3 linked regions of the Canis lupus familiaris genome follow. The protein of the gene in region 1 purifies or fractionates together with the protein of each later gene. This does not show direct contact. Links are inferred from orthologs where the notes say so. Each region holds a gene or a part of one and is shown on either strand. Other genes may lie near its edges.

Region 1 (5,217 bases):
GTTTATGTGCCAAGTTGGATTTACATTAGATTCACACAGGTAAGGGAGGTTCTGTTTTTATATCCCCAAACCCTACAAACACACCTTCGTAAATCTGCCTCTCCATATTAATAAACGCACCGCCTCTTTCCTCCTGTGTCTGTTTGTGCATTTCATCTGGGGAGTTCTTCTGGACTGTAACCCACCCAGAGCTCACCCCACTGCCTCTTTTCTCTCCTCCTCTTCCTATTTTTTGCAGAGTGACTTCTTCTTATGGAAAATGGTTGTCCCTGATAAGGAATTTCAGTACTAACTGCCTAGAGGAAAAACTATTCTCTATCCCAGCATATGGACATGCCAAAATGTCTGGGACTTCATTAACTTCATTTATGTCTCTAATAAGTGTTACGGGGACCACAATGCCATAGTTCTTTATTACTCTAGAACAAATACTAGGTGCTGGTTGAATTTGCAAAAAACATACCTAAAAATTATTTTTAATTATACTGGTGGAGATGGCTTTAAATTGAATGTGGGAGGCATGGAGATCTATGTGCTTGCATTCACGTTTTTCAGGAAGATGAAAGTGTTACAACTTCCTGTTGATTTCCCTTCAGAGGGTACTTTTCATTCTCAGGCTCGCTGTTCTGTTATCAGTTCAATTCTCTTGTGAAGTTTTTTTGATAGTTCCTTCCCATTCTTTTTGTAATCATTTTCACCTAGTGAAGCAAATGAGATAATTTTGCAGATTGTACCACTTTACTTTTAAATTAATCCATTCTTTTTTGAGAGAATGATTCTAATAGTGTGGTCAAGTATTTAGAAATCAGCAGGCTACTAACTTCTCCTTAATTCAGTCTGTTCCGTTGATTCCCTGATCACTTGCTGTGTTACTTAGGATAAAATTCTTCCTCCCTACCCTCCCTTCCCCAGTGGGTTTTCTAGTCTCCAGCACTGAGAAAGAAGAGTCTAAGATTTTGCTGCTATTTTAACAACTTTGGATTCTAAAAGCCTCATTTAATAAACTGTTTATGTTCCATATGAATGTGATGGTGTATTTATTTTTGATTTGTATTTTTCACTGCATATTAGGATTACTGATGAATTAGGCCATATATGAGGACTTATTTGGAAAGACAGGCCATTGAATAAATGAAGCATGCCATGCTTTTTTTTTTTTTTTTTTTTTTTTACTGTGAATTATTATTCTAGAATGATTCCTGGGGGAGGGAGGGAGTAGATTGTAAAAGAAAAATGATTATCTAGATGAATATAAATCCATAGACCTACTCATCTGAGAAATATTGGTGCTACTTGTAGAATTAAATTATGTATTTCCAAGTTGTGTTATTTTAAACTGTGTTAAATACTGAAAGGAGCTATCTGGGGTAAATTTGTAAATTTAAACAAATGATCAGTACTAGTTAACTGCTGAGTAATTTTCATTAAACACAGTCTGTCTCTTGTCTCTCCCTCTCTGTGTATAGGTGTGTATATGTATGTGTGTATATTTATGTGTGTGTGTGTATATAAGAATATATATGTATCAAAGTATTCTATAGGCTATTTTAGAATACATAAAATATTTCAGAATACATAAAAGCGTAATCATTATTCATCACTTTAGATTGCAGAAATTTTGTAACCATACTGAGAAATAGCTCATGATTTCACCAATTTAGAACTAATTACTTAACTGGAGTGACTCTTGGAAAGGCATACTTTTACTGCACACCAAATGCATGCACCCTGCAAAGCGCTCTTGGTCTGTAGAGATAGCCTTAGCAACAAGTGTGGTGCCTCATGTATGATTGTGTTGTGATTGTCTGTGGGTGGCTGAATCATCTTTTCCTTTAAGCTGTTCTTTTATATGGTTGCTTTGAGGGTGAAGTGGCCAAATGTCTTCTAGTTCTCATACTGTCAAGAACTGTGATTTAATTTGATGTCTCAAATTATTTTGTCTCATTCAACAGAATCATGGATATATCTTAATCGATTCCTCTCTTAGAACACTTAGTCAATTGCACATAGAAACACACACAACAGGGAAGTGTTAGGAGACAGATCATGGGCACAGATGACATTTTAACAGTAACTTAATAATTATTGGTGTGTATTGTGGGATCTCTTTCTTCCAAATAAGACTCAGACCATTAGGTTGCTCATACTTTGTTCTTCCCTTTGAGCTGAGGGGATTTTTATATTTGTTTAATTCCAATATATGGTAGTGAGTAACCAAACATTACATATGTAATAATGTTTTTATCAGTCACTAAGACTTTTAGATTCTTAGACTAGTAGGTACTAATCCTCAAATGGTGAAATTACAAAAGGCGATTTAAATGTTACCTCCTCTGATGACCTTTGCCAGTTGGTGGACTTGACCTTAGGATAAAACATGCTGTACTGTACTTAACAATAAACATTAAAATGAAGTTAAAGAATGACTCTGTAAATATTCATGAAGGAAACAAGTTGAAGTTGCAAAATAACCAGTGAAAAAGGACCTTTTGCTTTCAAGTTTATTTCAGTTCAATCATAATTTGGTGTAAATGACATCTTCATGAAGAAAAGGATCTGAATCTAAATTTCTTTTGGCTCATTTTCTTCTTTGCAGAAAGTTTCTTAGAAACGTGAGACTTGTTTGCCTGAGCTAAACTCTTGTGGTTTTCATTTGTCAAGACCTTGCTACTATTTAGGTGCTTGAGCCTGCGTTGCTGATTCCCATCTTCTCCATCTTGCAGGAGCTTACAATGCACTAGTAGAGATAAGATGTGTATATAAGTAACAATTACAGAGAATTACAGAGATAAATGGCCACAGGACAGATAAGAATTACTGTAAACGTTTAAAAGAGGAAGCTGTCTATATGGGTATCTTTTTCCTGGAAAGCCTATATAGGGCATGGCAAATTGTATTCTGTTGGAAGATATATTATCTATATCTGAACTATTGGAAATACCAACTTTAATTTTGGCAGGATTCTAAATTTGAGTATCTATATGGATATTATCTCTAAATATGGAGATTATGAAAGAAAATCTAAGCTTTGGACAGGCCCAAGATAGGTTCATAAAAATTTTTAATGTGATCATCATACAGAATTTATGCTAGCCATCAAGTCAGTCACAGCACCAGAACTAGGTAAAGATTCCTGTTCTTTGTACTGTGGTCAGATAATGTTTGCCACTTGTCAGGGTATCTAGAATATTCTTTCTGTCAGTCAAGATATTAGTACTCTAGACCAAGTACCCTACTAATTTTTGCTTTTTTATCTCCTTATTGGTCTCTAACAGTTCATTCAGGCTTTTCTTTCAACCTGCAGTTTTAGCACACATTGATGAGGTTTGAACCATTGACATTCGAACCTGTCACTGGCTTTCTCTTATTTGTCTCTAAATGGGAATAATGGCAACAAATTTTTCACTTTTGGGAGACCTAACAAGTTTTGAAATTTGAGACGCTTAGGCACCATCAAATTCAGATGCCAAGAATCAAAACTTTCCTCTTTTTCTTTGCAAATGTACAATGCACTGAGGTTAACCTTTCTTTGATCACCTGCGCGTGCACGGTGAACCAGCCGGCTTAAAACAGAAAACTGCCAGAGCTATCCACAAGTGCATGGTCTTCTATGCTCCACACTGCGATATCTAGTGAACCATCAGGCAAGCTCTGTTTGAAGCATTTCTAAGCATAGTTTGTTTCAGAAACATAATCCTGACAACCAGAAACAATTTATTACATTTATTGAAAGGATCCATTTCTGCACTTCATTTATATGGTTGTGCTTTTTGTGTTGGTGTTATTTTCAAGTGTATTAATAACGATTTAATGTACTCCTTTATCAGGAAGTCTTTGTAAATATAATACCAGCATTAAAGCAGTAGGGCATTGTGCATGGTAGTAGAAATATTACATGTGTAATGATTTGCATTCTTAATGTTCCAGAACCCTGGGGTTATTAGTAAAACGATTGGAGAAAGGTGGTAAAGCTGAACAAGAAAACCTTTTTCATGAAAATGATTGCATTGTCAGGATTAATGATGGCGACCTTCGAAATAGAAGATTTGAACAGTAAGTGTGTGCTGGCTGCACTGCTGTTCTTTCATGCTCGAGGCATGAGAGAGTGTAGTCCATTGAAATGCTTCAAACAACATGTCTCTGTCTTTATACTAGAGAGGAGTATTTTCTGTCATTATCTAGCTTTTAAAAATTTAATCAAACTACAGGTAATTACTACCATTAGACTATATTTCAAAATGCCCTCTGACTGACAGAGCGCTTCTTAAAATATTATGGGCCCAATTTATACTTCACAATTTTGCTACTTCCTCACCTTTCAGAAAATTTGCCAGCGTGCTGGGCTTTATTATATTTTAACTCACGTTCCCGACTTTGTTGCATGTAATGATTCATCTTATAAATAAGCAGAGAAAGCTCCTTTGAACTACAGTGTGGTCCACCCAATTTTCTTTATCCTGATTTAAGTCATTACTCAATTAAAAAGATAAAAGTTGTCCAGTTCCTCTAAAATAGGACAAAAGTGAGCAGAAATCATAAGGATTTCGTGTGTGAGATCTGAGTCATGAATGAGCGTGAGCTGGAGCAGTTGCTCAGGCTGGTCGTGGACTAGCACCAGGACCAAAACTCTTCACATTTTAAGTCACTGAGGCCACACTGGTTTTCTTAAGAATTTTGCATACACTTGTGTTAATTTTGCTGATAATGGATAGTTGATTTCTATAGTTTTCTACATATATTTATTTCTTCAAAAACTCAAGTGGTTCCATGTAACAAAATGTAAGTTTTAAATGTATTGGATAATGTTGTAGAGACAAGATTGTATTTAATTTCTGTTCCTATTGCAATTATAATACCTCTATTGTGCTTAAAACTATTTAATAATTTGTGATTGAGTACCCGGTATTTTATCTGTAGTTATAGATAATTTTCTCATTTTTATTAAGAGAATAAAAAATTTATATTTGGAGAAAACAGCTATGCTTCTATCAGAGCTTGCAAACTTGATTGATAAATGGGATATCAGGATTTTGTTTTTCCGTTTCAACAAAGTCTGGCAGTTCTTGTTGCTTAATTAGTATACTTAATTAAGCTCATAATATCTTCTAGTCTGCCAGTCTTAATTTGCTAATTTTCCATTCTTTCTCAAACCCAGAGCACAACATATGTTTCGCCAAGCCATGCGTACACCCATCATTTGGTTCCATGTGGTTCCTG
Region 2 (5,664 bases), on another chromosome or scaffold:
CTGCCCGAGATGGAATCCTTTTCATCTGTACTTCCACTCAAAATGGCCAGGAAAGACCTGAAATTCCCCAATAAACACTTGGTGAATTGAAAAGCTCCAGGGGGAAAGATGGGCTTCTCACCTTTGAGCCCAGGTGGGGCAAAGTTAGCACGGAAAAACCACACTCCCTGGGCACCAGCGCCCAGCAAAGCCATTATCCGAGTACCTGCCCGGAGTCAGGTACCATGCCACCTGCTCAACAGCGAGATGATGTGGTCCTGACTCCTCGGCGCTTTCATTCTAGGGCAGAGGCAGAGGAGTCCAAGAACATGAAAAAACGGAAGCTTGTCACCCACATGCTGGGAAGGATGTACGAGGAGTCAGGAGGGGTTTGAAGTAGGCAGATGAGCGCAAGGCCCCAGGACTGCGGTGGAATGAACCGCCCCCACCCCCAGGTCAGGCCGGCCCCTCTGCAGGTGGGGGGGGGGGGGCACTGGAGGGTCTCCTCCTCACTTCCCTGGCGCGGCCAGTACTGTTTTAAACAGCCTCCCTGCGAGAAGGAACCGCGCTCTGGGGCATTTAAAACAGAGGGTTGTCTTTTATCAAGGACGGAGTTCTATCGCCCCACGGAGAAAAGAACATTGTCCAGAGGCTGCCGTTGGTGGAAACAGCAAACGGCGAAGAAACGGCTGGAGGAGGGAGAAGACTTCGCGAGCAGAGCCTAACGCAAGCCCTGGGAGGCCGATCCGAAGTCCTGCGCGCGGCCATGCACCCTGGGCCTCCGCCCACTTCCCCTCCCTCGCGGCGCCCTCTCGACCCCCTGGGACCCGCGGACGAAACCGAGCCCGCGGAGCCCCGATGCTCTCCCCCAGTAACTGTTGCAGAGGCGGGAGAACTTTTATTCCGTAGCCAGAGTTGCAGACGGACTCCCGAAGCACCCAGCCGGGCGGTGGAGGGGAGCCTCTGCAACTGCAGCCCCCAAAGCGGACTGCGGCGGGGGCGGGCGCGAAGCCAGCGGCACCTCCGCGCCCCGGGGCCCCGCGGGGCAGCGCGGTCCCACCCCCAGCCCGGCGCGCCCTCGCCCGACCCGGCCCTCGGGCGCGCGCCTGCGCCTGCGCTTGCGCAAAACGCCCCCGCCCCAGCGCCTCTCCAGGTGCGCTCGCGCTTCCGGCCGGCCTTCCCGAGGCGGAAACACCAGAGCCCGCGCATGCGCCTTCCAGCTCTCCTGCTAGGTCCGGGGAGGGGGGCCCAAGGCTTCAGGTGATCCCGCCCCTCCCTCGCAGCGCGGGACCAATCGCGAGGCGGTAGGCGGGATTTTCGCGGAGGCGGCCCGCCCACACGCTCGCGAGGCGGGTTTCGATTGGCTGGCGGCGCGGGCGCAGGTGCGCGCTTCCTATTGGGTGTGGGCGGAGCGCGAGCCGCCGAGGCTTCTGCCGAGGCTGCAGGTGAGCGCGCGCGCGCCGCGGCTCCCTCCCGGGCTCGGGTGCGCGCGCGCGGGCCGGCGGGGGAGGCGGCCGGGAGCGAGCTCGCGGCGCCCGTCGCCTGTGCTCCGCCCCCTCCGCCGTCGCGGCCGCCGCCGAGGCCCGGAGGGAGGGAGTCGCGTCCCCGCCCGCCGCGCAGCCAGTCGGACCCTCGGTGCCGCCGCGAGCAGCCGGCCGAGCGGAGCTCCGCGCCCAGAAGCCGAGTCGCGGCCGCCGCTCTGCAGGTGCCGGTGCGGAGGCGCCCGGGCCGCAGCCGCGTCCCCGGCCCCGGCCCCGTCCCGCCGGCCGCGACTCCCCGCGCTCCCGAGGGGCGGCCCGGCCGCAGGAGGCCGCCGCGGGGCCCGGCCTCAGCATGAACCGCAGCCACCGGCACGGGGCGGGCAGCGGCTGCCTGGGCACCATGGAGGTGAAGAGCAAGGTGCGCGGGCCCGGGGCCGGCGGGGGCGGGGGCGGGGGGCCGGGGCTGCCCGCTGGCTGCGGCCGCGGGGCGTGCGGGGCTGCCCGGTGCACTCGCCGAGAAGCGGGCGAGGGTGGGGCCTTGCGTTTGCTCCCGGCCCAGGTGGGAAGGCCCGCGGAGCCCTTGCCCTCCTGGGGTCTCAGCCCGGGGCGGGGATGGCAGGCGTCTGAGCGCAGTGTGGGCGAAGGCTTGGGGACGTTGTAGCTCCCGGCCTGTGAGTAGCAGGTATTGGAAACACGCGCGGTCACAAAATGTTACCCCTTCCCGTGGTCCAGGGGTGCATCGAGCGGTGAGACGGCGAGCCCAGGGCCCTGAAGAGCCCTTTGAAAGTTGGCTTTGCTTCCTGCTAGGGATTTTTCCAGCACTCCCTTTGGTATGCGTCCTATTTATAAGAATTAACACTATCACCTTTCGTTTGAGTAGCCCTTTACAGTTTGAGGCTGGATGCTCTCTTCATTCCATCGTGCTGCCTTTTCACATCAAGTGTTTTCCTTCCTGACCGACGGTATGCCAGCCTGCTGAAAATTCCGTCCATATCCACTGAATTCCTAAATTGCAAGGCTCCCCGAGCAGGGGAGTCTGTAGGGATTAGTTAGAGAATGCTTTCCAAAGGGGGTTTCGAGCTGGAATTTGAAGGTGATCGGCAACCACAGCAGCATTTTCAGCAAGCATTTTGTGAGTTGAAGAGCCAAAGGAGCTCAGATAATCTAGTTTGATTCTCTTGAGAAAACGGAGGGGTCAGAAAGGTTATGACTTCGCCAGGCTCTGCTTTTATGACAAAACCTGGAAGGCTTTTTACAGATAACTTCTAGACTCTGTAGAACAAACGTGTTTTTGAGAACATTAAAAACAGTTAACAAAACCAAGACACAAGAATGGGAGAACAGTACGAGCAGATCAGCTTCAAAAATAACGAAACACCATTGAGTGTAAGACTACAGAGGGCAAATCCAAAATCAGGGAGTGGTTTTGAGTGAAGTGGAGTAAGAAAAGCTCCCCGGAGCCTGGGGGTGGAATGGTTTTATCTAGAGCTGATAAGCAAAGTTCTGTGAGTTGCTGGGAACTGAGATCTTCACATCAAGAGTATCTACATTCATTTTAAACATCGTTTGAAAATGTTATTTGTGACCTCTGGAGCAGGATAGGCAAGTGGGTTCACAGAAACCGTTCTGCTTAATAAGAATAGAAATGTAATTATAGCAATTTAAGGACTGTGTTTTTTCTTTCCTGTGCCCTGCACAGAATCACTAGAGCAAATTGAAGGGACATGGCTTGAGCTAAGGGTTAAGATGACTCCAAATATACAGGATTTTTCCTCGAGCGGTATAGCAGCGGTAGTGGTTCTGTGCCCACTGGTTGAACTTTCTCAGGCATTTCTGCCATAAATCTAGTTTGCGTCTGTGGGGGTTGAGGTTAAGAAAAGAAAAACACTTATGATATTGCATAATCTTAAAATTCAGTTTGTGGTCCTAATCTTGGTAACAAGTCTTGAACTTTTTATCGTAGGAAAAAAATGAGTAGAGAGTCTAGGTGCACCGATAAATACAATCAAATGGTAATTTATCTCCTGGACTAGAAACCTGGAGCACTTTTGGGACTGGAATTTCAGGCTTTCTGCCCTTTCTCTTCTCTCAACTGACCTGTGAATCTTTCCCACACTTACATCTGTACTACACGTTGTATATTTGAGCTGCCATGCTGCACTCGTAGTGAACCATGTCTCTTAAATAGAATCGAGGCATTCTGAGGACCTGCACCAAATGAGGTGTGGTTCCTCTTGTTGTTCTAGATCTTGCTGAATAGACACAATATTAGGTACTGTTTTTAGCATCTGTGACACTGTTTTAAATAGATATTGTTGAGACATTTATTTTTAGTGGATTAAATGAAACACTTGTCATCTTTATCATTTAAAAAGTATTTAGACAGATGTTTGAAACAATATTTCTCTTTGTCCCTGCCTTGGTGATATCACAGCTTTTTTCAAAACTGATTGTCGGGAAGTTGTAACCACAGCCAGGTAACGTGCAGATCCACATTTCAAGATCTCTTTTTCTTCTGCATAGAAAACAGTGTCAACTGTATCATCTGAGCAGAGCTGGGGAAGTTCTTAATAATGAAGGTGATATCCCTCAGTAACCTTGGAACAGTCTTTGGGCCGTACATTTTCTACTTATTATTCATGGGCAAACAGCATTAAAATTAACTTTGCATTTCTCGAATGTACCAACAGATGCTGGGAGAAGGCCACATCCTGGGTGGCCAGGACAAACTAGATTGGCCTAAAGAGTTATAAATGGTTCATGTAGTGAAAAGTTGTTGACTCGGTCTTAATTTTATGTCTGTCTTAGTATTTTTCTTCATGTAGTAAAACGTTCTCTTAATCCTATTGTTTCTCTGCAAGAAGCATAACAGTTTCTCTTGTTTGGTTTTGTTTTCTGCTAACATTTGCAAAAGGGCACATCTGCTATGAAGCCATACAGTTTTTCATTGTTTTTATCATAACCTATAAGGAAGAGAAATACATGTTGAGCAAAGGATTTTCACCCAAAAGCTTTAACAAAGACGCTGGAGCCCTGCGATGTTCAATTGTTAGATGTTAACTTTCATTCACGTACCTGGAGAAGTGATAAACCCTGGCATGAATCAGAAAGCACTAGGAGCTTTGCATTGTGATACCAGAATAAAGAACATGGAGGAGAAACTGACTTTTGATAACATCATAAGACTAGCTCTGATATGAAGGGTGTTGCCGAGTTTTTATTTACTTTGAAACATGAAGGTGTGACTAAACTTTTTGAGAGTTTTAGGTATGAGTCACCTTGTGTTCTTGACAAATGTTGATGTTTATTTTCAGGAATGTGTTTTGGAAACTTTTATTTATTAGAAGTAAGAGGTTTTAGCGAGGTTTTAATTTAATACTAATGAGTAGTATTAGTACTGATGAACTTCTTCAGTGTAACAGATACAGTGACTCCAGCTATGTCATAGGTCCTAGTGAAGATGAATTAACACATTTGTAACCTGCTCAAATTATCCTGACGGGGACTTTCTCTGCATGATGCTTAAGGCTGTGTTAGTACTACATTACATTAGGATACATTAGTATTTCTTGTTAATAGTAGGTTTTTTTTTTTTAATTTTTATTTATTTATGATAGTCACATAGAGAGAGAGAGAGGCAGAGACATAAGCAGAGGGAGAAGCAGGCTCCATGCACCAGGAGCCTGACGTGGGATTCGATCCCGGGTCTCCAGGATCGCGCCCTGGGCCAAAGGCAGGCGCCAAACCGCTGCGCCACCCAGGGATCCCAATAGTAGGTATTTAGAGGAAAAATGATTTCAGTGGTTGAACACATTTGGCAAACATTTGTTTAAAATTAAAAAAAAAAAAAAGAAAAACTGGGATCCCTGGGTGGCGCAGCGGTTTGGCGCCTGCCTTTGGCCCAGGGCGCGATCCTGGAGACCCCGGATCGAATCCCACATCGGGCTCCCGGTGCATGGAGCCTGCTTCTCCCTCTGCCTGTGTCTCTGCCTCTCTCTCTCTCTCTCTCTGTCTCTGTGACTATCATAAATAAATAAAAATTTAAAAATAAAAAAATAAAATAAAATAATAAAAATAAAAACTAACCGTAGAACCAAACTGAATCTTTAATATTTAGTTTCCACAGTGATTCCTAAGAGTGTGATTATAGGTTTGTAGCATTTTCTAAACTTTTGTGACTGGGACACTTTTAGAGGAAGGCTGA
Region 3 (5,783 bases), on another chromosome or scaffold:
AAAAGATATCTGCACCCCCATGAAGCATCATTTACAATAGCCAAGACATGGAAACACATATTTACTATTTATAGATTCTTACTGATGACAAATTTAATATAGGCAATAAGCCTCCTGTGAAAATGAGGCCAATGAAGGATTTTTCAAACCGCTAAGAAATAAGGACCCAGAAGAAACAGGTGTTCACACCTTACCTTTCTTCAGTCTAACGCTCTCCCAACTGAGCTATCTCGGCCGCTTCGCCTTACCGTTCTAAATTCCCATTTCCCATACAATGCAAATTTCCTTTCCAATAGCATTATATAATCTTTCAAATTTGTCACAAGCATACTACATTTTCTATGAATCCAATTAAAACTTCACAATCTCACTTCAGAAATAGTTTATATTCCACAGCTAATTGATTCATATTTAACATGTGGATGTAAGTCCCGAGTTCTCAAAACTCTGATACCAAGGTCTTTCAACAGTTTTTATTAGGAGTCTATAATCCACGTTTGTAGCAGTTAAAGGACATCACCGCAGACGAAGTGTCAGACATAACTCTGATGAGTCAATCCTCCAGCCCTATTTTATCACAGTAAAGCAGGTTATAGTCTTGATTATTTCAACCTTTTTTAGCATGTGCTGGTGCCAGGACCAAAGCCGGAGCTGGATTCATTGCTCCTTGTAGTTGCACTATGTGCCAGAGCCAAGATCAATGGAAGATCAGAGACTAAGCTACAAAGACGGATCCTTTATACTGTCATCTTTGGCTAGCCAGTGATAGAAAAGAATAGAAAAAAAAAAATAGTGCTGATGGATGGCTCGGATAACCACTGTGCACCTGTGCCAGGCGATGGCGATATACCAGGGCCAAGGTGCGGTGGGGGGGGGGGGGGGGGGCTGCAAAGGAGGCAATGCCGGTCTTCCACACCTTCTAGCTGAGTTTCCTCCTTTACTACATTTGTTACATATGTTATTAAAGTCTTTCCATAAAAGAGCGTGTGCCCAGCCGGTTGACCAGCGTCTCGTCCTCCAAAAAAGGCACCGTGCACTGGAGCTGGTGCATGCAGCTGGAAGGGGGACTGCATCGGGGAACCCACTGTAGAGATGGGGACGAAGCCCAACCGCTCGCCGCGACCTCAGGTGCCCACGCTGCAGCCGGGGTTCCAGGCGGGCGAGCCCCTGGCCGAGGCTGCGGGGGGCGCGCACGCGGGGCTCGGACTCGGGCGGCTGCGCGGGGGAGGCCGGGTTCCGACGCCGAGAGCCTCCAGGCCCGGCCTCCCACCGGGACTGCAAATCCCAGAAACCCGGCCCAGCCCCGCTCGGGCCGGCGGCGGGCGGGACCAAGTCAGGCCGCGGGGTGAGATGCCGCAGCCCGGGCCCCCGCCCGTGTCCCCCGTGGGGAGGGCGCCCTTCGCGGACAGCTCTGGCCTTCCCTCAGTCGCGGGGGCCGCGGAGGCCCCTCCCCGGCCCACCGATGTGCCACCCGGCGCCGCCATCCTCCCGCCCCCCTCTCCGCGGCCCCCGTGAGGATGGTTCGGCCCGGCGTCGAGGCTCCTGGAGATGCTCGGATGGTCGCGCCCGCCCTCCCCCGGAATGTGCGCCTTTGGAGCGGGCGAGGTGGGAGGGCCCGGAGGGGAGGCGTGCTGGGCCCGGCGGGAGGAGCCGCGCGGTTCCGGCTGCCCCGGCCAGGCGCCCCTCGGGTCGGGCGGACCGCGCAGGTGGCCGAGCGGGAGGCCGTGCGGGAGGCCGAGCGGGAGGCCGAGCGGGAGGCCGAGCGGGAGACTCTGCAGCGGAGCGCGCCCGCCCCCGCCCCCGCCGCCCCCGGCGCCCGGCGCGCCCCCCGCAGCCTCGGCCTCCGCGCTGGGGCGGGGGAGCAGGGAGATGCCGACCCAGAGGGACAGCAGTGCCATGTCTCACGCGATCGCGGGCGGCGGCAGCGGGGACCATTCCCACCAGGTCCGGGTGAAAGCCTACTACCGCGGGTGAGTGTCCCGGGAGGCGGGGAGGGCAGCGCGGGGCGGGGGGCGCCGAGCGGTCGCGGGGTGGCGCTGGGGCGCCCGGGTGCAGCCGGGTCCGGCCCGGGTCCGGCGAGGGTCCCAGGGCGGAGCCTGGGCATGGAGAGGGTCCACCTGGTGGCTTCGAGACCCGCCGCCTGCCAAGAGGCGCGCGGGGGCTTTGCGCCCTTGAGCCCGAGTGCGTGTGGGGTTCAGGGCTGGTTCCGAGGGGCGCCTGGGCGAGCTAAGGTGGCCGCGGGCTGAAAAGCCAGGACTCCCGTAGTCCGCCGGCTCCGCCAGCAGCCCAAGGCCCGAAGCCTCGGCTGCTCCGGGGCCGCCCCACCTTCGCGGCGCAGAGGAGTCGGCGCGCTGCTCTGAGCCCGCCCGGCTGCCTGCCTGCCTCCCTCGGAGACGCGGAGTTACTGCTCACGGGTAAAGTTGCTGCCTTTTTAGGGCCGTGCATTAGGCACTCAGGTCTCGCCAAGAGCAGGTCGTATAGGTGCGAATTAAAAATTTGTGAACGCTCCTTTGTCAGTGTTGGCTCAGGGACCACTTACTGGACAGGGGGAGACGCTGCAAGGAGAGAGGGGGGCGAACCGAGGCGTGGTTTTAAAATCTGTGCTATGTACTCAGATTCCCCAACTTAGAGCTCCTGTGCTTACCAGGAGGGACCTAGTGCTAATACTGTTGTATCAGATCATACCCTGTAATCAGTGACCTGGAGTATCCCCCTTCCCTTGTTTTCAGTTGCGTTTTGAAATTTGAGATGATTACCTTTAGTAGCATTAGAAAGGTGAAATGGTCGTGTGAAGGCCAAGATTTGAGGCAAAGGGTTAACAGCAAAGCCAATGGCTTTGGCCTGTCTTACTGTTTGTCCAAGCAGAAGTAAATTGCTCAAAAAAAAAAAAAAAAAAAAGAAGAAAGAAAAAAAGAAAAAAAAAAAACCCTCAAGCACTAGGAGGTTGAGACTGCAGTGCATACTTGTACATTCCTGAGAGGATCAGTGAAGATAGCAAACTTTCAAAACACCTCTCTTGTTTTGATTTTAAAGGAAATAGGAGCCGTCAAACGTCTTATTGATTTGATGTAACCACTTAATCACTCGCTGCTGTGTAGCCGCTGACCTCTTGTTTGTTAGCCTATTCAGCATAGTTTACAAGAATTATTTTGGACAGTATCCGCGTTTTTGCTTAAATTGATCAAGGAGGTCTTCATTTTAAAAACAATACTAAGAAGTGTGTGTATGGTTTTTTTTTTTTTTAAGTTTGTAGTGGTCACAAGCGCAGTTTTGACATGAATATGGTCAATGAACTTTGCACTGTGGGGGAAAAAAGCTTTGCTTCCTTTACCTTACCTTTAATTAAGAGATTAATTCAGTTGCCATTTTATAAAATTGACAGTCCATGAGCTGTTAGGCAAAGAGAATGAAATATATAGTATGTGTTTTTTTTTTTAAGTGTTTCATTATTGACAGTTAAAAAAAACGGGATTAAAAATGAATATACTCACATGGTAGGAATGTGCAAATTGTACAGAGGTATAAGGTGAGTGTCTCTCGTGGCACCTGGGTGGCTCAGTGGTTGAGCTTCTGCCTTTTGCTCAGGACGTGACCCTGGGGTCCTGGGATGGAGTCCTGCATTAGACTCCCCGAAGGGAGCCTGCTTCTCCCTCTGCCTGTATCTCAGCCTCTCTCTGTGTCTCTCATGAATTGACAAATAAAATCTTAAAAAAAAAAAAAAAAAAGTGTCTTCCATCTCATCCTCCCCACTTCCAGAGGTAGACTGTTAACAGTTTATTTCTGTTCTTCTGGAGGTTTGCCTTTATTCTTTATTACCTTATTCTCTTTCATGATTCAACTTTAGGTGGTACCTATTGGTTCCTTCCACTGAAAGATGAGAAATTGGGTGAATGCTACCTTTTGCTTGTCCTTCTCCTGGTTGGTGCTTTTCAATTTTTGATTCTTAAGCTATTATTTTCAGTTCTCTGGTCTGCATTTATGACTTTAAACAATGCAAATTCTTGGCTTATTAAATTTAAATAGTTTCCGATGACTTTAAATATGAAGAGGAAGGAATTAGGTTTCTTTCTCCTGTTTTTATTCGTTTGACAAATCTAAAAAGGCCTAGTTAGTAAATTAAAATCATTATAAACTTCTTTAGAAAGAAATAAAAATATATTTAAGGAATGTTAGGTGTCAAATTTTCTTGGCTTATTACTATAATTATTGTTATAAAAGAAAATAGAAGAGGGCATATACTTTTAGTGCCTGACTAAAATTTTTCTAAGACATTCTCAAGTTAACATTTTGTTTTTTAACATCTGTGAATTTTTGCTAAGGAATGAAAGAATCTAGCCCTTGACCTTTATTGCTTTTTATTCGTTGAAAGCTTTCTAATAGTGCCTTCATTTCAAGCCTCATTTAAAGACAACATCAGCACTCTCTAAATTGTTCCAATTTCTGTCCCCTGAAATTAGATGTTAAGATTATATGTTTATTAACAATAGTCTAAACTGGTGGTTTTGATATTACATAGTCAGCTGCTCATTACTACAGATGAAACTAAAATGAGTCACCAATGAGGATAGCTAATAAACAGGTTGGCTAACTAGAACACCTACCTCATTTTTAAATAGAAAAATCCTTTATATCAAGAAATGTAGGGTCAATCTGCATTTGAAAAAAGTTTTTCTTTCAGATCTTATGAAAGGCTGTTATCAGAAAGCCTTCTTACTCCCTTCTAACAGTATTTCTTTCCAGTGAACGTTGAATCTTGGAATAACCAGAATTTTTTAGCAAATAAATTGCGTTCCCTCTTTAAAGTTGTGTATGGTGTTCTCTCATTCAGTTAAATTTGTTCTTAGGGCAAATGTGTTGTCTCTCTAGATATAACAGACATTTAATTAGATTTTTTCTAGTTTTTAAGCAGGAGATTAATAGCATCGAGAATCCGACTGTATTGGGGGTGCTTGGGTGGTTCAGTTGATTAGTTGTCAGACTCTTGATTTTGGCTCAGGTCATGATCTTGGGATGGTGAGATTGGGCCTAGCCTGGGGCTCCATGCTCAGAGGGGAGTCTGCTTGAGTTTTTTTCTCCCTGTCCCTCTGCCCCTCCCCCAGTACACACATGAGCTTTCTTTCTCTAAAAGAAATCTTAAAAAAAAAAAAAAAAAAAAAGAATCTGACTGTATTGGAGACCACCTAAGAGTGCCTGTGTCATGTCCTATATACCCTTCTTTCCTTAACATGGGAGCTTGTCAGTGAGTGGCCTTCCCTCTTCAATCATTACCTAGTAGTGTTAGGAGGAAGAGAAACAGGTTTTGTTGGTTAGTGATAAATTGCTATTGTAGGTGCTTATCCTTATATTAAAGTTACTTGATATTATGGGATAAGAGTTTAACAAGGAAATGTCCAGACTACGCATTTCATTTTACATTATAAATGTATGGGAAATTTTGCAAAAAGGTTGTAAACAGGGGGGATCCCTGGATGGCTCAGCAGTTTGGAGCCTGTCTTTGGCCCGGGGCATGATCCTGGAGTTCTAGGATCGGGTCCCACGTAGGGCTCCCTACAGGAAGCCTGCTTCTCTCTCTGCCTGTGTCTCTGTCTCTGTCTCTCTCTCTGTGTATCTCATTAATAAATAAAATCTTAAAAAAAAAAAGGTTGTAAACATGCTTTTTAAACCACTGCCATTGAACAGTTACAACAATCTAGAGGGTTCTTTTGTGCGCATCTATAAATCGGAAGAGATTAACTCCTTGTATATTTGGAAGGTAGAGCTGGTTAAGTGAAGAAGTATGCAGG

The links.
Region 2: the proteins of PARD3 (region 1) and PARD6B purify together in Homo sapiens (affinity purification with mass spectrometry; 5 studies listed by BioGRID and IntAct, counting the BioPlex papers as one, with this or other methods). This does not show direct contact. The link is inferred for Canis lupus familiaris from reciprocal best matches to the Homo sapiens genes PARD3 and PARD6B.
Region 3: the proteins of PARD3 (region 1) and PRKCI purify together in Homo sapiens (affinity purification with western blotting; 5 studies listed by BioGRID and IntAct, with this or other methods). This does not show direct contact. The link is inferred for Canis lupus familiaris from reciprocal best matches to the Homo sapiens genes PARD3 and PRKCI.

Annotation. Positions count from the first base shown.
Region 1 is NC_049223.1:2,750,780-2,755,996, forward strand, and holds part of PARD3 (partitioning defective 3 homolog), read left to right. Parts: intron 1-3,927; coding exon 3,928-4,053; intron 4,054-5,155; coding exon 5,156-5,217. UniProt on the Homo sapiens protein: Adapter protein involved in asymmetrical cell division and cell polarization processes. Seems to play a central role in the formation of epithelial tight junctions. Targets the phosphatase PTEN to cell junctions.
Region 2 is NC_049245.1:37,728,730-37,734,393, forward strand, and holds the start of PARD6B (partitioning defective 6 homolog beta), read left to right. Parts: upstream 1-1,750; 5' UTR 1,751-1,812; coding exon 1,813-1,878; intron 1,879-5,664. UniProt on the Homo sapiens protein: Adapter protein involved in asymmetrical cell division and cell polarization processes. Probably involved in formation of epithelial tight junctions.
Region 3 is NC_049255.1:35,023,139-35,028,921, forward strand, and holds the start of PRKCI (protein kinase C iota type), read left to right. Parts: upstream 1-1,869; coding exon 1,870-1,970; intron 1,971-2,128; exon of another isoform or gene 2,129-2,414; intron 2,415-5,783.